Elephas maximus indicus: one gene and its partner. The protein of the gene in region 2 interacts with the protein of the main gene of each other region in a pairwise test. Links are inferred from orthologs where the notes say so. Each region holds a gene or a part of one and is shown on either strand. Other genes may lie near its edges.

Region 1 (10,691 bases), on a different chromosome or scaffold from region 2:
TTGAAATACAAAAAATAAACACCTGAAAGCAAACTTTAAGCAAAATGATGGCTACAGGAAATAATAGCAATATGTTCTGTACTTCTAATACAACTTCACGGGACAGGGGGATGATCCAAAGAACAAATTGTTCAGTCCAAATTTGAAATCACTTTTTATTAAAGTCACAAAATGAATCAAATTTTACGTGGACCAAAAAATACTGTCCCACCCAAGATTAGGCATCCTCCTCCCTGAACTAGCCCCAGCCACCCCTTTTTGAGTCACTATCATCAAGCTCTAACCAAAGTCGAACAGAAGCTGGATTTGCTAGCATCACAGCTCAGTGGTATTTAAATGCCATGAGTTCACGTCCAAACTTCATTGTGTCGGGACCAAGGAAGAACAGACTGAATCGCCAGTTCCACCAAGAAATTTTATAAAACCACAAAATGGAACTGCAACCAAATCACGTTCCCTTTAAGGTCTTCAGGACCAACCTAAAACTAGTTCACATTCCCAGGGACACTACTAACTACAATAGAAACCAGGCATAAACCTAACGGTGCTCTCAGAAGTGGGCTAGCCCAGGGACATGCAATCCACCCAGCAGCAGTTCATTTCCTCTTAGAGTTCTCACATCGCCTATTATGAGGTGCAGCAAATACAAAGCATCTGAGTAACGACAATGGCCAGCACTTCTCTAGCACTTACTATATGCCAGACAATGTTCTATGCATGCATAACTCTGAGATTTTTGTTGTTTTTAGCTGCCTTCAATAACTCTGAGGTGGACACTTCATTACCCTCACGAGCACAGCAATAAGAAGTAACTTGCCCAGGATCATACAGTAAGTGGCAAAGCTAGGTAGGATTCAAACCCACGCAGAGGTTCCAAAGTCTGTGCTATTACCACTTCCTCGAGTCACTGACTTGGAATTTGGTTATTCCTAAACCGCAAATATCCTAAAGGCGGCTAAGAACCAGCAATCACAAAAGCGCATAACGGATGTCATAAAGCCAACCCTCAGCAACTTTTCACTCATTTTAAACACAACTCTTACAGCATTCCTAGTTCACATTACATTAAAAGTACCAAATCCAGGTGGCACAATGTCCACACCAACAGCCATCAGCAATGCAAGAGCTAACAAAAATAAAAGAAAGCAGTCCATGGAACTAAAAAAAAAACAAAACAGCAATTAATTGCCATTTAGTATTAATGTTTAGATTGACATTGTGTGCCCTCAAGTCCATTCTGACTCAGCACCCTGTATGACAGAATACAACTGCACCACAGGGTTTCCCTAGGCTGTAATCTCTACTGGAGCAGATCACCAGGTCTTTTCACCTGCAGAGCGGCTGGTGGGTTCCAACCGCCACAGAGCACTGCTCCGCCAGGGCTCCCTTAGGGCTTTTGTTATGGGTTCAGCAAATTACAGCCTGCAACCAAATTCAACTTGCCCCAGTAGCTAAGAATGGCTTTTAAATTTTTAAATGGTTGGGGGAAAAAAAAAAAAAAAAAAAAACCGAAGAGGAATATGTGACAGAGACCATATGTAGCCCGTGAAGTCTAAATTATTTACTATCTGGCCCCTTATGGAAAAAGTTTACTTCAGGTAAAAAGCATCATACACATCTTAGATGCTCAAGGAACTCTCCTGATTCAAACATTTATTGAGCACCTACTATGAGTCAAGGCACTATTCTAGGCACTACCCACCCACCTACTGCCGTTGAGTTGATGCCGACTCATGGCAACCCTACAAGGTTGAATAGAGCAGAACTGCCCCATAGAGCTTTCAAGTCTGTAAATCTGTACAATAGCAGACTGCCACATCTTTTTCCTGCATTCTAGGCACTCAGGATATATACGTGAACAACTGCTTACAGTTTAGCTTAATAAAGGGTACTCAAATAAAGGGTACCCAAACTCTGAAAACAGGGAAAGCAACACTCCAAGTGGAAGTGGCTGAGAGGTCCTCTGCAGGCTGGTATCCCTACCAACACAGCTTCATCGTGGCAGAGATGGCTCTCTGGCTCTCCAAGCCCAGGGCCTATTGTTGTTAATGGCTGTCAAGGCACCCCCAACTCATGGTGACCCCATGCACAATGGAATAAAACGCTGCCCAGCCCTCTGCCATCCTGTGATTGGTTGCGGATCAGACCATTGTGATCCACAGAGTTTTCACTGGCTTATTCACAAACCACCACTGGCAGACAGGTAGTGGCTGCATGTGTGGTGCTGCAGTCAGGAGCTGAACTCAGATCTCCGGCACAGAAGACAAGACTATCTTACCACTAAACCACTGATGTCCCCAGCACAAGGTCTAAGCACAATTAAAGATATGTGGCGGGGGGGGGGGGGTGCTCTGAGAGATGGGAGAATATGTGATTAAAGATGAGCCGTATGGTTACATGTGCTTTCCATATTCTTGAAACATGCCTGAAGAACTTTAAGAGCCTTTATTTGCTAAGTACATATTATAAACAGATGACAATAAGAGGAAACAGATGCCTGAAGTATCTGTGCAGGGGATGGCATCCTAATCTTTACGCCTAAACACGTTGAGAGTGACTTCTTTCAGGTAAGTAGTTTTCAATAGGCTGGGGCCCAGGTTCCTTTAGTCCCATGGTCCAGCAGTTACCTTCACTGATATATATCCAAAGTAGGTAACAATCAGTACTGTTAAAAATACACTGCATGAAATGGTATATGAAAATGTTTAAAGTCTTCCATGTTGAAAACACCTGGTGCTACACCAAAGCTTTGAAAATTAACAAAAATATATACATGCAAGTTTCTCTAATCTTTACCCAATCTCCTGAGCCAAGCAGCTAAATCTCTCTAGTCCAAGATTCATAAAATACGTCAATCAAATCAAAAGATTAGCTATAACCATACCACTGAGTCCTTCCTCTCCGCACACATAAAAATCAACCAACTTGAGCTCCAAAACTTTCTGAAATGTATTCTATAAAAAGCATTCCCTTTAACAATTTGTTTAAATTTATACTATAAGTCACCTTGCCTCTTTTGTTTTTCACTGTCTCGTGTGTGTGTATTTAAAAATGTCTTCCACCATGGATCATTCACAAGTATTTAATACGATAACCCTTCGCGCCTACTAAATAAATAACAGCCTCACAGCCACCCTTTCCAAACATGAAACTATTATGAAACAAGATGCCATCTGCCAAAGTTGTCCCAAGGAAGGTTTCACTCACACCCAATGCCTTGATAATTGTATGCGAGACAAGACCAGCTTCTCCACATAACACAAGCAGCATCATTCAATTACGTGGCCATTGAAAAATCAAAGCAAGAACAGGCTAGGCGGACCACACCAACAAAATTATTCCAGTCCACCCCTAATACCTAATAACAAAGCTGGCCTCCTGATGTAGGAAGATGGAAATAGCAAACGAAACTAACCGCAGATATCCCATAACAAAAACTCTTGTGACGACTTACTTCCCTGCATGGGATTTCCGCCTCTACTTCCCTAAGTGTCAGGCCCTACGAATGGGCGAGCTAAGGTTCCTGACCTGGAGAGGCTCAGGAACCTAGCGCGGGAGGAAGCCAGGCACATAACCCCAAAGATCTAATTGTATGGGAGATTCCAATATAGAACTGAGGCGCCCAGAGAAGGAAGTGAATTCTGCCAGGGGTGGGCGTGGGGAAAAGCGGGGGAGTTGGGAAGGGCTGGGGGAAGTTTCCGAGAGGTGACTCGGGCTACAACCAGGGAGCACAGGGGAGAAGGGAATGGAGAAGAGTTTCCCCGAAAAGGCTACACAAAGTGCCGGAGAAAGGTAGACGCTGACCCACTCGGTGCCGCCGCCGCCTCCTTCCGTGTCCCGAGGCGCCCCCTGGCCTTGCCCTCACTCCCTCCCGAATCCCCGGGCGTCCCGGTCCGGCTCCTCGGCGTTTGTAAAGCTCCCCTCCCAGTGCCGAGAAGACGGGCGGCTCGAGCGGCCCGCACCCGGAGAGGCCGGGATGGGGGCGACTCAGAGCCCCACCCAGCCCTCGCAAGGCGGCGACACCGCACCCCTCGCCCGCCACCGCGCCGCAGACAGGTCCCCACCGAACGCGGACACTCACTTTCTCGTGGAAGATGGACTCCATGTTTATTTGTCTGGAGCCAACGGCCCCCGCATCGAACCACCCCCCTCCGGCTCCGCCCCTCCGCCCCACCCTCTGCCTACCCCGCCCCGCCCCACCTCGTCCCGCCCCTGCCCTCGTGCCTTACGAAGACCAATCACCCTCGAGGATGCGAGTCACGTGGAGCGAAGAGCCAGTGAACGCCAGGGCGGTAATCGCAAGGGCACGTGACCTTTGTAGCGTGTCCTCCCAGTTCCTGATACCAAGCCGGCTGAGGGTTGCCGCAGCGCCCCCTGCGGTCTGGAGGCTCTTCTCTTCTTCTCACCCATTACTATGGATTCTTAGGCTTTTCCAGGTCTAGATAAGGACCACTCGGATTCTATGTTCTTTTTTCTTTACACTTTGCTTTGAACTTTCTACTTATCACACCTACGATAATTATTTATTATCTTTTCCCCCCTCCCACTGCAAGCCTCATTGAGAAAAAGGCATCATTGTATCCCCCAATACCTTGCAATGATGTGAAAATGATATTTTTATATATATATATATACATTTTTTTTTTTATGGGTTAGGAAACCCTGGTGGCTTAGTGGTTAAGTGCTACTGCTGCTAACCAAAAGGTCGGCAGTTCAAATCCACCAGGCGCTCCTTGGAAACTCTGTGGGGCAGTTCTGCTCTGTCATATAGGGTCTCTATGAGTCGGAATCGCTCCGATGGCAACAGGTTTTTTTTTTATGGGCTAGATTAAGTGCTAGGGCTATTAACCAAAAGGTCTGCCCTTGGAATCCACCAGGCTCTTCTTGGAAACTCTATGGGCAGTTCTAATCTGTCCTTCGGGGTTGCCATGAGTTGGAATCAGCTCAACGGCAACGGGTTTTTACTATGCTGGTACAGTGGTTAAGAGCTCAGCTGCTAACCAAAAGGTCGGCAGTTCAAATCCACTAGCAGCTCCTTGGCAACCCAACGGAGCAGTTCTGCTCTGTCCTGTAGGGTTTCTGTGTGTCGGAATCTGGTTTAATTTTTTACTATGGGCTAGGCTTTGCATACATTAAAAACCAAACTTATTGCTGTGGAGTCAATTCCAACTCATAGGAATTGACTGTAGAACACAGTAGGACAGAGTAGAACTGCCCCACAGGGTTTCCAAGGAGCCATTGGTGGATTTGAACTCCAACCTTTTGGTTAGCAGCCGAGTCCTTAACCACTGTACCATCAGGGCTCCTTGCATGTATCGGTGACTCTTAACATAGCAACCTCTGATGTAGGCAGGGGCCAATTACCCAATAAGGAAGGTTAGCACGGGATTACTTGTGTTTACTTACTAATCTGTAGTGAACAATTTCACATGGGTTTCACCACATCTTTGTCTCCATATCACCATGTCTTTGTGTGAAATCCTTGTGAAATTGCTCACTATAGATTTGTAAGCAAGCACAAGTATAAGTAAACACAAGTAAGCCCATGCTTACTTTGTTTACTGGGTAATCCATCCCCGTCAGGGATTACAAATCTGAAAAGAGGCTTCAATTCTGTAGGAAGGTGCTCTGGGGTGGAGGGAGGGACAGATGCCAGCCATATGCAGAAGTAGAATCTTTGATGTGGTGGAAAAAAAATAGCTCTTTTCAGATGATCTAGTAAGCAAGGTAAGCATCATGCTTACTTTGCCTTTTGGATAATCCACCCCTGGATTTAGCTATTACTATCATCTCTATTTTACACGCTGGGCGACTGGGCTATTTTACACATAAGGACGGAGATGGAGGCACAGAGATGTTAAGAACAGCACAAGTCCAAGGTCACTAGCAAGTTGCCATGAGAGGGTTCGAATTCAGGCAGCTTGTTCTGGTGTTGGTGCTCTGGTGCTAAAGAGGAAGCCTTGATTGGAAGAACTGAAAAGTCCCATAAAGTATGTGTATGTGGTGGAGGAGATGGGGAGGATGGATAAAGCGGAAGGGGTCAAATAGCAGATCTTGCAACTTGAAGCCAAGTTAAGGAATGTGTACTTTTTAAGGGCAGCTGGGGAGCTACAGCTTTTCAAAGAAGAGGCATGCTCAGATTTGCATTTTACAGAGAACACTCTGGCTGTAGAAGACAGCAGTGCCAAGAAGTCAGCTAACATGAGTTTACAACAGCCCACTAGGTTTTGTTGCTATGCAGACCATTGGTAACTTTCGTGATGCAGGTTCAGGGGGTAGAGGGGACAACAGGAGGTAAGGAAATGGAGACTGCATGTGTTCAAGAGGAAGATCCAGTTACCATTTATTGAACACCTCTGGGCACACAGTTCAGCGTACTGTTTGGGAAAAACAGTCCCTGCTCTTAAACTGTGGCCTAATGGGGAAACAAATCACAGTTCTCATTAAAAAAAAAAAAAACTCACAAGCCACTTTTTCTGTTTTAAAAAAAGTGTGCATCCATGTGAGGAAATATTTATTTTTTCACGTACGTACATGATTAACGTGCTTGGCTGCTAACCGAAAGGCTGGAGGTTTGTGTTCACCTAGAAAAATTCCAAAAGAAAGTCTTGGCAATCTGCTTCTGAAAAACCAGCCGCTGAAAACCCCATGGAGCACAGTTCTACTTTGAAACACATGGAGTCACCTCACCATGAGTTGGAATTGACTCGATGGCAACCAGTTACTGGTTATACATTACACATTACACAAGCCAGAGGTTGAGATGGGAAGAGAACTAGGCAAAAGGGGGACAGAGTGGGAGGCTTTTCATTGTATGCAATTTTATTCTTGATCTTTGAACTATATTATTTATTTCAAAAAAAATTGATGCGATTAATTGCTTAAAACCAAAACACCAAAACCATTGCCATAGAGTCGATTCAACTCATAGTGACCCTGTAGGACACAGAACTGCCCCATTTGGTTTTCAAGGCTGTAATCTTTGGGGAAGCAGACTGCCAATCCTTCTGAGGAGTGGCTGGTGGGTTTGAAAGGTTGACCTTCCAATTAGCAGCCAAGTGCTTAACCACTGCACTGCCAGGGCCCCTATTAATTGCTTATGAGGATGTAAACCCCTAGAGGACCTTACTGTTGAATCCTCAGCACCTAAAACAGTGTTTAGCCAAAAGGCACTAAATATGAATTAATGCTAATCATTTCATTGATGTGTGATTAATAATAAATGTCATAAAGTGAAAAAGGTCAACACCTGGGAGTCAGAATGCAAGTTCTAGTTTTGGCTTTGGCACTTAAGCCACGTATAATTTGGGGATTAGATCCATTGTTTTCCCTATTTCAATTAATGCCTCCACTTCAAATTCAGCATGTCCTAAACTCTATTCCACTTTGAAAGAAAAATCATACCATCCTTCAAAATTCAATGATCACACTTTCCAGGATGACTTTCTTGACTTCTGAATAATTTAGACCTCCAAGTCGGAATCAACTTGACAGCAGTGGGTTGGCCCCTCCTCTGAATTTCTGTACATGCATCTATCATACATAGTACCTTTCATACAGTATCATAAAGTTTGGTTTAATCATACATCTGTCAATATCCTATAAATATCTTGATGGCAGGCCTGTCTTAATTGACTTTGTGTCTCTAGTGTTTGATGTCTGTTGAATAAATTAATGAAGGCAACTATCTGGGAATCATTCTTGATTCTTTACCCCCTCCCTGCAACTGTTCCACATCACCCCTTATTTCAATCAGTCCTCGAATACTGTGTTCTCACCCGTCTCTCCCATTTGTTTTCACTGCTGTTGCTCAGTTCAAGCCCTCTGAGTGCCTTGTGTAGTCTAGTCTAAGGATCTCTAAATTGGCCTTCTGACTCCAGTCTCTATACACCTGAGTCATAGTTCTATCAGTGATCTTTCCAAAAATGCAAATCACACCAGTTTTCCTTTCATTCAACAAATAGTGTTTCTATACACCAGTCACTGGGACTATAAGTACCTGTGGGGTGGGGTGGGGTGGGGGGAATTGACCATTTGATTTAACAGTACCATGGTTTAAAATGAGAAAGAGAAAATTAAATGCTAACTGTAAACTTAACACCAACGTATACAATTAAAAAAAAAGAAAATTTAGGTACCCAGTAATTGTGTTTTTAATGAATGGATTTTAAAATTTGAAAATTATTTTAGCATAAAAAGAATCACACTCCAAATTCTTCAAATAATAAACATGTTTTTATTTTTCTCATAATATTTAAAATATCATTTACATTTTGTAATTCAGCCACAGCTTTTACTTCCAGGTAACTTCTTCATTGGGTTTCAATTCCCTGCGTGGAAAAAAAGAAGGAAAAGAATAAATAAAACTTTTATAAAGAGATAAAAGGGGAAGTTAAAGGAGTGTGAATTCAATGTTATATTCTATTAAGTTGCCCCATTTTTAAAGCTTTACATGAGATTCAACATATTCATCCTATTCCCTCACGATTTTACTCTACCTTCAACTGCATTTTTCCCAATTAAAAAACTATAATTTCTTAGTCTAGCTTTATATGAAAGCTATTATCTTTTCAATGATTCCATTTAATGTTTTCTGCACCCTTTCCAGCTTGTTTTCCCTTTCTTGAAATCCTTGATGTGTGACCCACCTCTACGTATCAACTGTGGCCAACGCTCAAGTCTTTTGCTCCTTGAGCATCCTCCTGCCCAGTGTGCACACCTACTGGCAGATATCCTGTCTAGCTTACTCTAACTCTCTGCTGCCAGAGGAGATGTCTTCAGAGACATAAGGAGGCCAGGCAGCTGACAACTGCTATTCGATCACTCAACCACCATGTCTCTTTAAAGCACTCTTGTGGAGAACATAGCACTTGGCTGTAATCTTTATGGAAGCAGATCGCCAGGTCTTTCTCCTGCATAAATGCGAGATGGGTTTGAACTGCCAACCTTTTGATTAGCAGCTGAGCTCTTAACTGTTGTACCCCTGCGGCTCCTAACGCCACTATCAATACTACAATCTGCTCCTGTAAAGATTATAGTGTAGAAAACCCCACGGGGACAGTTCTGCTCTGTCACACTGGGTCACTATGAGTCAAAAATCAACTTGACAGCACCCAACAACATTTCAGCTACATCCCGGCTTAAGTAAGATAGTACATGATAATATATGTGAAAGCAGTATACAGGGTAGGCTTTACAGAGCTGTTTCAAATTTTGTTTCTATGGTAAAATATACTTTGAATTCCAAAAAATGGGACTTTCAAAGATTTGAAACCACCTGCTCATAAACTGAAGACTGTATTCCAGAGGTAATCATACAGTTTTATTCAAGAATTAGATGACAAACAAGACTAAAAGGCAGTATCACTTCAATGTTAAGTACTCAAGGGGGAAAATTATCCCTTGTTTATTTTTGGCATATATGATATCAAGAAGAACACTCCCAAAATTTGGTCAACTGTTTCTTTCAAAAATGCAGGCACTAACCTTTTAAATAACATACTCTTGTTCCGGAAGGCGGTTAGTCTCTCATCATTCCGTCTGTCCAGATAATATCCGAAGACAAATCCCATAGGGACAAGTGTATGAACCCAGTGCTCACGCACCATCTGAATTAAATTCACCATGATTACTAAAAAAGAAAAAAATTAATAAAAGATTACCAAAAATACCCTGCATTTCAAATATCTTTTAAACCTCATCTGAAAAAGAAAGGTAACCCTGGAAGTAGATGTTAAAAGCGTGTTGTTGTTGTTGTTAGGTGCCGTCGAACCGGTTCTGACTCATAGCGACCCTATGCACAACAGAACGAAACACTGCCCAGTCCTGCACCATCCTTACAATCATTGTTATGCTTGAGCTCACTGTTGCAGCCACTGTCAATCCACCTCGTCGAGGGTCTTCCTCTTTTCCACTAACCCTATACTCTGCCAAGCATGATGTCCTTCTCCAGGGACCCAACCCTCCTGACAACATGTCTAAAGTATGTAACACGCAGTTTTGCCATCCTTGCCTCTTAGAAGCATTCTGGTTGTATTTCTTCCAAGACAGATTCGTTCCTTCTTTTGGCAGTCCGTGGTATATTCAATTTTCTTCACCAACACAATTCAAAATCGTCAACTCTTCTTCAGTCTCCCTTACTCGTTGTCCACCTTTCACATGCATATGATGTGATTGAAAATACCATGGCGTGGGTCAGGCACACCTTAATCTTCAGGGTGACATCTTTCCTCTTCAACACTTTGAAGAGGTCCTTTGTAGCAGATTTGCCCAATGCAATGCGTCTTTTGATTTCTTGACTGCTGCTTCCATGGCTGTTGACTGTGGATCCAAGTAAAATGAAATCCTTGACAACTTCAATCTTTTCTCCATTTATCATGATGTTGCTCATTGGTCCACTTGTGAAGATTTTTGTTTTATGTTGAGGTGCAATCCATACTGAAGACTGTGGTCTGTGATCTTCATTAGTAAGTGCTTCAAGTCCTCTTCACTTTCAGCAAGCAAGGTTGTGTCATCTGCATAACGCAGGTTGTTAATGCATCTTCCTCCAATCCTGATGCCCCATTCTTCTTCTTATAGTCCAACTTCTCAGATTATTTGTTCAGCATACAGATTAAATAGGTATGGTGAAAGAATACAACCCTGACGCACACCTTTCCGGACCTTAAACAGATCAGCAGTCCCTTGTTCTG
Region 2 (10,947 bases):
ACTCCCGCTGTGAAAGTTTAAATTCCTAGATATTTTATGATTATAAGCACATTACTATTTCACTTCTCTATTACCTAACTTTTGAAAATAATCCGTGCTATTTTAATAATCGATAAAAAATTTTACTTAGAGTCGCAGCTACATATAATTATCTTAAAGCATACCTGGGTGGTCTGTGCATATCCTTGAGTGGGCTGGGCGGTGTAAGCACTGTAGCTGTAAAAGAAATTAAATGCAAGAACTAAATATATAACATCCATATTCCATCACTACATCCTCTACATCTATAGGAGGCTCTACACTCTAAAAACAATAACCAACCACAGACAAAATACTGTCATAAGACTTACTTACCCCTGCTGGGCTGCAGCTTGGCTGTAGGTACTGTAATCTAGAGAAAACAAGGAGAGAAAATACATGAAAATGAGAAGAGAAAAAAGGGAAAGGAATTCAGACGGTAGGAAGACTGCTTCACAGATGTGCCTCTAATCTCTTGACACCAAACCAAAAGTAAGTCTGGGCCAGTTAAACTCAGAAAACTTAAGTCTGGTGCCAGCTAGCGAGGTCAAGATCAGGAGATCTGGCAAAGACACTTTGCATGTTCCGTGACCACAATGTCCCTCAACCACAGGCTGTCATTTCAAATACATGACCATCCGAAGACTCACAGAGAACAAGACTCACTAACAGGGTCAAAAGCGTCAATTTACCTTCATATAAAAAAGAAGGATGCGACAATATTTCAGTGTTTGATGTCAGACTAGTTCTATTCGTAGCTATACCTATCTCCTCAAAAACGAGCTTTTCTATCACTCCTTCACTTTATCAAGTCAGTCTAACGCTAAGTCCCTAGCAGGCCAACGACTGTGAAGTGAAATGGCAAAGGACAAGAGGACAGGCATCACAACCCAGTGTTTTCAAGGGTTTGCGGACTGTGTTGGGGCTACATTTGTGCAATAACTCAAAAGCTAGGTATATTATAAACCCCAGTGACACAGATTTAAGGCAGAATCCTGGAAACTGGCGAAGAGGGGAAGCATTTAATCTTTTTTGAATAATTTGGTTTTAGGTAAAACCACCTTATTTTTAAATACTCCAAGTGACTTTAATTTTTCAAAAAAAAAAATGCCACAAATTTTCTTCCCTTCTCTAAGTAAACCTTTCCACAATTTCCCATTTCATATGAAATTTAGAACATGTGTCAAAGAGGGACTAAACTCTGGTCCAACGAGGTGTCTACCAGTGGAAACAGAAAATAAAATGGTTGAGAAGTTTTCAGAGTACTACTGAAATAAACTTATATAAGCTCAGTTTATTTTAAAAAAAGAGCTGTTATTTTTTAAAAATTCTGCCCAATTCTTTCATCTTTCCTCTCTACTGTTTTATTCTGTGTTTGAAGATAGTACTGCCATTAGAACTGAACAAAAAGGTCCTTTTCTAATCAGAAAGTAGTCCCTCATCCAAAAACAATAGTTTATATTTCAGTTCTTCACCGAGTGGTTCTACCCTACTCTATCCAAAGCTGACCTCACAGCCCTGTCAACATTTTGCTAAACCCATCTCTTTAAGTTGGCTTATCTTTCTATCTCTCCATGCTTCACTTAGCCACTTTCTGTATGCCCTTAACTCTGAACCCTAAATCATCAAAATCAAATCAAATGCCCAAAGGCTATCGATAATACATTGCTTTGTTAAGACAACCTTAAGGCATTTGCAATAGCACAAATCACACTCTTTATGGGACATGAAAAAGTAAATGTGAACAACTTCCACGTGGCATTCACAAAATAAACATATCACCAACGAAGCATCTAAAATATTTCACTTCACATTTTGCTAATTTTTCTACGTTAGAAATTATTTTAAATCGCTGATACGTAAATTCAACGTTTGTAAGAGACCTTTTACACAACAGCAGTTATGTAAAACATAAAACTGGCAAAGCTGATAGGGAACAAATGATCTCAGATCAGTGTGAAACTAGAGGATTTAGCCCCATACTAGTGAGGCAGCTAGCATGCTTCATGAGAACTACTGTTTCATCTACCACACACAGAACTGTATGACCTCAAATATGCTTGCTACACTTACACCCTGGTCAGATTCTTTAGCAAGCAGGTGTATTTTGTTTTTAATCCCCAAATGTGCAGCTGAAGACTTCACTAAAAATACAGGACCGGCTGGGAAGGGGAAAGCGACTGTGATCCAGGGAGTTAGAGTGCTGGCAATGTTCTATTTCTTGATCTGGGAGTTTGTGTTTAATTCTTCGTTAAACTGGACATATGTTTGGGTACTTTTCTATATACCATATACATGGGGGAACATCTAAGATTACTCAAGACAGTAGCTAAACAATACTTTAGGGAGTTATTATCCAAACTGGAGAGATTCAAATATTCAGACTACATAATAAGTTATAGTCAATATAAGGCAACTCTGTGGTAGGCAATACGCTTTGCTGTAAGGTCAGCAGTTAAGGGCTCAAAAAGCCCTTTAAAGATCTAGCCTAACACCCTCATTTTGCAGGAAAGGAAACCAAGGTTGAGGTAAATTACATGACTCCCCCAAGACCCCCCCAGCCCAGTCTAATATTTTATGTACCTGCATAAACCACTACCGTAATTCTAATACAGTACAACGTGAATAAAGCTCAGTCTAATATTGCATGTATCTGCATAAACCATTACTGTAATTCTAATACAGTACAACGTGAATAACAACAGGATTTGAGCAAAACTGAAGAAGTAACATATCCAGCCACGCTGGCTCCTAAGGCTAAAGCCGTTGTTGCCCTTACAAAATTCAAACTGCAAGGAAGGGGAGGGAGGGTGGAAAGGCTATCTGTACTATGGCATTTCGGAGTCCTCCTCTGGGGGCACCTACAGCAACACTAGTCACCTGGTTACTAATCACAAAGTGGGGCAGCGCCAGAAACACATCCTTAAGTTGCTGGATCCCGGACTCTCCTCAAACTTAAACGCGAGAAGACCCACAGCTTTTCCTGTCTTTCCCTCTCATCTCCTCCCACTGCCTCTAGAAGGCAGGCCGCCTGAGAATCCCCCCAGACGCAAAAGTGCTGGCCCGTGCCACCAACCAACCGCCGGTGAGTGCACGAAGAGGCTGCCAACTGCAGGTGATCTGAAGACGACACTCTCTGGGAAATACTCCGTGCAGCAGAGACCACCTCATTCACCACATCCTGGAGTTCCCACGCTGGGCTTGCTTTCAAAGGCCTCGGTGCGTCTACCTTCCCTCTCCTCTATCAGCCCACGACTGAAACACGCCTGTCGCCCCTATGACTGCTTAAGGAGAATTCAAATGCCGGCTCGGGTCTTTTGTTCCTTTTAGGTCAAAGAGGCCAGAAATTTCTCATAGGAAGATCTCTGGCCTCGTGATCCAGGCAGGCCTTATTATACAACGGTTCTCCCTCGGCGTTGGCTGAAAAAGGGCCCAGGGAAGCGACTTACCGCTTTTAGGGAGGAGAGGTGGGGAAGTTACAAAAAAACGATGAAAATGAAGAAGGGAGGGAGCAGAGGCTTGGAGGCTCTGAATGGGGCTGAGGGGCATTCCGTCCACAGCCCAGTGCGGCCGAAGTTCGGCCTGCAGCCCGCGGAGGAGCTGGTCGGCGGCGCTGGACGCCTCCAGCCGCCCGGAGATCGAGGATGACGGGGCTCCAGCCCATAGGCCAAACGAGAGGCCGGCGCCCCTCGGCTCGCAAATCCGGGAAGCCTTTTTTGTCTGTTTGCTTTTTTTCCCCGGGCCTCTCCGAGGAGAAGAATCGCCCCTCAGGCTCGGGCCGCCTCCCGGGAAGAGAAGCGGGAATCAGTCACAGTGGCAGAGGGCCGGGGCAGTCACCCCCGCGGCCCGGGTTTCGGGGCTCCCCGCTCTAGGCCCGGCCAAGCCCCCCTCCCCCACGCGGAGCCAGGAGGCCGCAGGCCCCGCCCACGTGGCGGGCGGCCCGGCGCGCGGGGCCCGACTACCGCCACACAATGGAGGCCTCGGCGGGTCTCGCGCGCCCCCGCAGCCGCGCGCCGCCGCGAGCTCCCCACGCGCCAGGAGCGCCGGAAGGTTCCAGAACCGGCCTGCCCGGTGGGGGGAGGGGAGAGGAGCGGAGCGCGGGCACCCGAGCCCATCCGGCCGTGAAGAGTACCTCAAACCCCTCTCCACAGCTCCACTCGGTCGCCCCGGTTGCCCCCAGAGATGAGCGGTCCCCCGTTTGGGCGTCCCAACCGTCGCCACCGCGACCGCGGTTCCACCACACTCACCCGTGGACGCCATTTTCTCTCCTTCCTCCTCGTTCTCTCAACGTCCGTCTCCCTCTCGCTTTCCCCCTAGGCCCCGCACTGCGCAGGCGCGAGGTCCGCAACCTCGGGCGCTACCATCGGGCCAGGCCACGGGGGTGGGATAAGGAGGGATGAACCATCACTTTCTCGTCGTTTGCGCCCGCAACTCTTGTCCCAATCCTCTCTAAAGGGTGCTGGCTGCGAAGACGCGCGGACAAAATAGCACCGAAGGGGCTAGAGCGGCCGGTGAGTGGGTCTCAGTGTCAAACCGAAAGATTCTCAAGAAGCCAGGCTGTTAGTAATGGTTACGTCCGCTGGCTCTAGGGACCGTCTCTGAAGAGTCTACCCTGGAGGAAACGGAGGCCGGCGGGAGGGCTGGGGGAAGGGACCGGGGCCTAGAACAACTGCTGACTAATCGGCAGGCAGCGGGGAAGGGGCAGCGCAGCGGCCGGTCGGGGTCACGCGCCCGCGTGTGTGCGGATTAGGCTCGGGAGTCTGGGCCTCGGTGGGGGGTTAAAGGCCCGACTGCCAACTGGGGTCGCGCTCGGCCTCCCGGGGGTGGGGGGGCCGCACTCGCAGTGAGTACCTCAGACACGTGGCCCCGCGGCGGGGGAGGGGGCCGAGGCCGGTCAGTAGGGTGGGAGGTCCCGAACGCTGCGCCCGGCTCCGAGAACCCCCTCCCCCTGCCCCATAACGGTCGAGGTTGAGAAGGCTCATTAATCACCTGTTATCCAATAACCTGGTTTTTACAGCAGGGGAAACTGAGGTCCAAGGAGGTTGGGTACTTTGCCCAAAGTCACAAAGCTGAGTCCGACCCAGACCCAGAGATCCCCCCAACTTTTCACCACCCGGGAAGAAGCTCCCCTGCCTTTGTCTTCCCATTCTATCTTTCTAGTTTCCCAGTAAGGTACACAGGGCCTGATGGTGCACCACCCCATTTTGTAGATGAAGAAACTGAGGCCCAGAGGGTTCAAGTCCTAGTTCTGGGTGTCCTTGGGTAGGCAGGTCCTTCACGCTCCCTACAGTGCCTTGGGAGGGAGTAGTTGTGAGGGTGCAGGAAGAGGCTTGCAGTGGACCTTTGGCTGCAGACCCAGCCTCGTGGCAAAGCTGGTACCTGCAGGCCTTCCTAGAAGGGACCTCAGCAATGGCTCAGCACAGTGGGGGGCTGGGCTCACCCCAAATCCCTCGGTGGAACCAGAGCCAAGCTAGTGTCTTTCAGCAAGCACACTATGCACCTGCTGTGTGCTAGGAACACCCTGGGAAGCTTGGGGATGAGTAAGAGAAGCCCTTCCATGAGCTCAAACCACCTGCCTTAGAAGACAGACAGGCTAAGCTGAGCTTGTAATAAAGGATAAAATCTGTTGGTAAGAGGAAGGGCCAAAGGAGACATTTGAGCTGGGTTTCAAAGGGTAAATAGGAGTTTGCCTGTTGGAGGATGGAGGGAAGGACACTGCAGGCAGGGGAGCTTTCTACATTTTTCCTACTGGAAACTGGCAAGTGGGTTTTGATGCTAAGGTTGCCCTCGGCAAGGGAGCAGATGAGGCAGCCTTCTTGTCTCTCTGGGGTCCTACTTCCTGCCCTATGGGAGACTGGAGGCCCAGCCTGTATGACAAGCTGGGTAGCAGAGGGGAGAACAGGGGAGAGAAAGTCTTGCCTTGTGGAGGCAGGGAATGGACATGGTTGAGGGCCAGGGCTAAGACCAGCCAGGCCAGAACAGGGAGTCTGTTGGTGTCTATATCTGCCTTCCACAATTAGCGGGGATGGCCATGGTTTATTGAGTAGGAGCTGCAGACCAGGCCCTGCCTTAGCCCATACCTTCTTATCATCTTGTGAGGAAAAGGTTTTCTTAATCCCCATTTTACAGATGAGGAAGGAGAGGCTCAGAGGTTGGGAAGCTTGCCCAGGGACATGCAGCAGGAAGAGGCAGAGCAGGAAATCTCCGGGGGGGGGGGGGGGCGCGGGGGTTGGACAAGAGGGGTGGTGATAGGGCCCAGGTAAGAAGAGAGTGGGTGGCTCTGACCACTGGCACTTTGTATGTGTGAATGGGAAGGTGACTCCTGTTGCCCCTCCTCCAGCCCCCTGCCCCACCCCCTCCCCAATCCGTTTGTCTATTGGCTGGCCCATTTTGCAGACTCTTCCTTGCAACTCCTGCCTCTGTCAAGGGCATCCTAGGTCAGCCTGGCTGGGCCAGATGGCCTGGAGCTCAAAGGCTGGGCACAGTGGAAGGGAGGAAGGGAGCTGGCCAACTAGGGAGCTGGCCTGAGGGAAGGGAGGCCAGAGGAGGGCTGGAGATGGTTCTGAATTTGCTCTGGGGCACTGCACCCCTCTTTCTGGGAGCCCAGGGCCCCAATTCAACTTCCCTAGGCCTATGCCTCCCACCCCCAGACCCTTTTTCGGGGCCATCAGGGCTCAGGGCCCTTTGGGCCTGGCCCCTGCCATCCTTACACATGGACAGGCAGGATGGTAGAATGGCTAAGCACATGGGTTAGGGTCCAAGCTCTGCCATGGCTAAGCTGCTTGGCTTGCCTCTTCAGCCTCAGTTTCCACTTCTGTAAAATGGGGCTGTTGTTGGCAGGGTGGGTGAGAGGGAGTCAATGAAATAAAGGCTGTGACAGTAACCATTGCTATTATTCTCCTTTACCCTCAGCACACAGCCCCAGGACCACTCTTGACCACTCTCAACATGCATGCCAGGGGCCCCCCTGGCCCACTGTCCCCGGCCCTGCCTCTCACCTCTTCCACTTTGATGCTGCTGATGAGTGGCCTGTGGCTGGTCGGGGCCGGCCCCAGCCTCACCCTGGTCCCGGAACTGCTGCTGGAACCCTGGCAGGGTGAGGGCCACGTGGGGCTTGGAGGAGGCAGGAGACTTGCAGTGGGGCCGAGACCAGTCACTTGCCTTCTCTGGGCCTGTTTCGTCACCTGCAAACTAGGGGTCATATTAGCAGTTACTCTTTTATTGAACACAGTTGGATGGAGTTGCTCAAGCAGATTCCCGAGTGACTGTATTACACAAAACAATTTGATAAGCACCTATCCATCCATTCATTCATTCAATAAATATTCATCAAGTACCTACTACATATTACACATGGTTCTCAGTGAAGGGGATGCAACAACGAACAAAACAAAGGCCTTGCTCTCACGGTGCTGTCGATCTGGAAGGGGAGACCCATGAAAAAGTGACTGCCTAGTAGGTCAGGTACTGATACGCGCTGAGAAGCAGGTGACCAGAGTGGGGGGTAGAGAGTGATAGGGTGGTTCTGGAGGGTCTTTGTGATACGCGCTGAGAAGCAGGTGACCAGAGTAGGGGGTAGAGAGTGATAGGGTGGTTCTGGAGGGTCTTTGTGAGAGGGTGACATGGGGCAGAGCCCTGCAGAGACTGAGGGCGCCTGCTGGCCATACAGAGATCCCAGGAAGAGCATTCTAGGCGGGGGGACAGCAGAGTAAAGGCCCTGCGGTCAGAGAATGTTGGTGTCCTTGTGGGGCTGCAAGGAGGCCAGAATAGTGGGAGTAGAGTGACTGGGGGGATGTAGGGTCTTGAGGACTTTGGCTTTGAGTGCGGTGGGGGCCTTGGAGGGCTGTGAGCAGAGCAGTGACATGATCCGACTTGGGTTTTGATAGCCCCTCACTGCCCTACCCCCTGGCTGGGGAATAGACTGAAGGGGGTTAGGGGTGGAAGCCAGGAGCCCGGTGAGGAGGTCACAGCAAAGATCCTGGTACGAGATGATGGCCTGGACTGCGAGGCAGGGATGGCCATGGGACAGGGTGACTTTTCAGGTACATTTCGAGGACAGAGCTGACGGGCTTGGAAGCTGGTTTGAATGTTGGGGCCTGAGCAACTGGAAGGAGCCTGGAGGGAGCAGGTTTTCTGGAGAATAGAGAGTTTGGTTCTGGACATGTGAAGTGTGACAGGCCGATTAGACACCCCTGAGGCAGAGAGCGAACTGGCTTTTGGGTGTGAGTTGGATGTCTGGGTCGGAGGCAGAAATTCAGAAGGCGTCAATGTATCTGTGGCATTCGAAGCCTAGAATGGATGGGGTGGCCAAGGGGTGAGGGTAGAGATCCAGATGGCTCCTGGCATTGGTGGCAGTCATTGGTGACCCTGACAAGGGTGACTTCGGAGAACAGGGACAAGGGAGGCCAGGAGAGGTGGTGGAAGCAGAGAGGGGAGGCGGTTCTTTAGCGGTTTTGCTCTAAAGGGGAGCAGAGAGATGGGCAGTGGCTGGAGAAGGGGAGGCCTGCAGGGTGTTTGGGAGGTGACCGGAACACTCCAGAGAGAGGGGAAGTCAGCACTGCAGGTGAGAGGGACCTAGTTGGGAGGGGACCCAGTGCCCTGGAGAAGGCCATCCTTGGATGGGAGCATGCCCAGCTCATCCCCCAGCAAGAAGGGAGGACAGAGGGCCAGCAGGGTGGGCTGGAAGATTGTGGGTGGGAGCTCTTTTCTGATGGCTTCCCTTTCACAGTGAAATGTTAGGTCTTCAGCTGAGCATGTTTTCCAATAATAACAACAGCTACAATTTACATTTGAGGAAACCAAATGATGCTCAGAGAGGTAAAGTGACTTGTCCAAGGTCACACAGCTGGGGAGGGGGGAGGGTCCAGGATTGAAGCAGACAGTTTTATCAGAGCCCACATGATGGATTCAGTAAACGTGTATGCAAAGCACCTTCACGGTGCCTGGGGCGTAATCAGGACTCAGCAATGGTTGCCCTGTTGTATACAGCAGGAGCGTGGCCATATCGGTCCTTGGTCCTCTCCTCATTAACTGATGGCCGTGGGCAGACTCTGGCTCCTGGAAGGGAGGTTGGCTCAGCGGGTGGCCCTGGTGGAGGGTAACCCACAACCTGGCACAGCTGGGGCAGCCTTGGAGGTTGGGGCTGTTAGCCCAGCGCCTAAGCCCCTTCTCTCTCCCAGCGCACCGGCTGCTGACCTACGCCCTGGGCCACACTGCCCTGCCAGGCCTGCTCCTAAGCCTGCTGCTCCTGGCCACGCTGGGCTGGCAGCAGGAGCGCCACCTGGGCACCCTGCGGTTCCTGCATGCTTCGGCCCTGCTTGCCCTGGCTGCTGGGCTGCTGGCCGTGCTGCTAGGGGCCCTTGGGGTGCCCAGTGTGGCTGGTGGCTGTGGATACATGCCCGTCCACCTGGCCATGCTGGCGAGGGAGGGTCGACGCCCCGGACGGCCCCGAGGGACACTGCCACCGTGGCTGCTGCCCTGGTTGCTTCTGAGCCTGACCCCGCTGCTCAGCTCTGAGCCGCCCTTTCTGCAGCTCCTCTGTGGCCTCCTTGCCGGCCTGGCCTGTATCCTTTGCCTGGGACCCAGAGCCTGTGGGAGCTGTGGATTCTGTAGCCTGGGGAGGAAGTGGCACAATAGGGGTCAGGCCCAAGCAATGCTAGGATGCAGTGCACACACATTCTAGAAGTATCTCCGAGTCCTCTGTCCCGGGCTTTGGGCTGGGGATTGGGAGCGCATGGCCAGGTGGAAGAGCCAGTTATTATTTGGAGATCTCTGTGGGGAGCTCAGGAGGGCTGGGGCCGCCTAAAGAGGCACTAACCTGGACCTGAGATCAGGGGAGCTCCCCAGAGGTGGTGGCTAAGCTGAGACATGCAGGGTGAGGGGCTTAGGTGAAGAAAAATGAAAAAGGAGTGCCCAGCAGAGGGCTCAGTAAGGGCAAAAGCTGGTGTGAGGGCAGGCATGGGGCTCTCTGGGAGCTGAAAGGGGAACCCCTTGTGGCCTGTGGTGGCTTTTGCTCCAAAGATGCTTAAAGTCTGTTCCGGGAAGAAGGTGCAACAGTGGGCTTAGGCTGACCCCTGGGATCATTCCCATTTTCAGGGGAGGAGCCTGTTTAGCTCTATCAGTTGCCCAGGATTGTCTGAATCCTGGAGGGGGAGTGGGTTGGCCTAGCTGAGGGCAAGCGGGGGTTGCCTCGGCAGGGCCTCCTCCTGGACCTGAGCAGACACGGCTTTGGGGACGGTGCGAGTCGGGGTGGCTGAAGGTGGGGGATGGGATGAGCCCAGGTTTGGTGGGAGGCAGATCTAGCTCCTCTCACCGGCAGAGTAACTTTGGGCAGGTCCCTTGGCCTCTCTGAGCCCTCACCGCTAACTGGGGTGACAACACATACTTGCAGAGGACAAGTGAGGATACATGAAGGAATGCCCGTCACACACCTAGAACAGGGTCTGGCATGTGGTGTGGGCTTACCCCCAGCTGACTTGATTTGCCTTCACCAGCCGCCCTGCTCTGGGCAGACAGACGCCGCGGGGGCCTTCCAGTGGCTAGAACTCTCGGAGCTACGGGTACAAGCGCTGCAGGAGGGCATCGTGTGCAGGGTCTTGGCTGGGTGCTGGCCGCTGAGGCTTCTTCCTGCCCCAGGCAGCCTGCCTGAACTGCCTGTCACCCATCCTCCTGGATCGAGGTGAGGCTGCCTAGCAGGAGGGTGACACTGAGGATGCCAGCACTGATGGTGGAAGCTGTGGCTGTGGCTGGCTGTCAGGCTCCTCTTCTGCTTCTGCTCCTCCAGGCCTCCTGCGCCTGGACCTCCTTACATGGCCTCCCCTAGCCTCTGGCTCCACAGTGAAGCCTCAGCCCTGCTCCCATCAGGCCTGGGGCCTGTGCAGCCCACCTGGGAGGGCTCCTCAGAGGTAGGCCTGGCCTGGGCCGGGCCCA

Evidence for each region.
Region 1: the proteins of EWSR1 (region 2) and ATXN3 interact in binary tests that used the Homo sapiens proteins (3 or more experiments, as listed by UniProt). The link is inferred for Elephas maximus indicus from reciprocal best matches to the Homo sapiens genes EWSR1 and ATXN3.

The regions. Positions count from the first base shown.
Region 1 is NC_064828.1:105,674,495-105,685,185, forward strand, and holds the start of ATXN3 (ataxin-3), read right to left. Parts: upstream 4,159-10,691; 5' UTR 4,106-4,158; coding exon 4,082-4,105; intron 1-4,081. Other genes in the region: NDUFB1 (NADH dehydrogenase [ubiquinone] 1 beta subcomplex subunit 1), read right to left, coding at 8,294-8,330, 9,487-9,626. UniProt on the Homo sapiens protein: Deubiquitinating enzyme involved in protein homeostasis maintenance, transcription, cytoskeleton regulation, myogenesis and degradation of misfolded chaperone substrates.
Region 2 is NC_064840.1:27,301,127-27,312,073, forward strand, and holds the start of EWSR1 (RNA-binding protein EWS), read right to left. Parts: upstream 4,327-10,947; 5' UTR 4,279-4,326; coding exon 4,266-4,278; intron 392-4,265; coding exon 355-391; intron 217-354; coding exon 165-216; intron 1-164. Other genes in the region: RHBDD3 (rhomboid domain-containing protein 3), read left to right, coding at 6,967-7,114, 9,198-9,581, 10,534-10,696, 10,775-10,947. UniProt on the Homo sapiens protein: Binds to ssRNA containing the consensus sequence 5'-AGGUAA-3'. Might normally function as a transcriptional repressor. EWS-fusion-proteins (EFPS) may play a role in the tumorigenic process.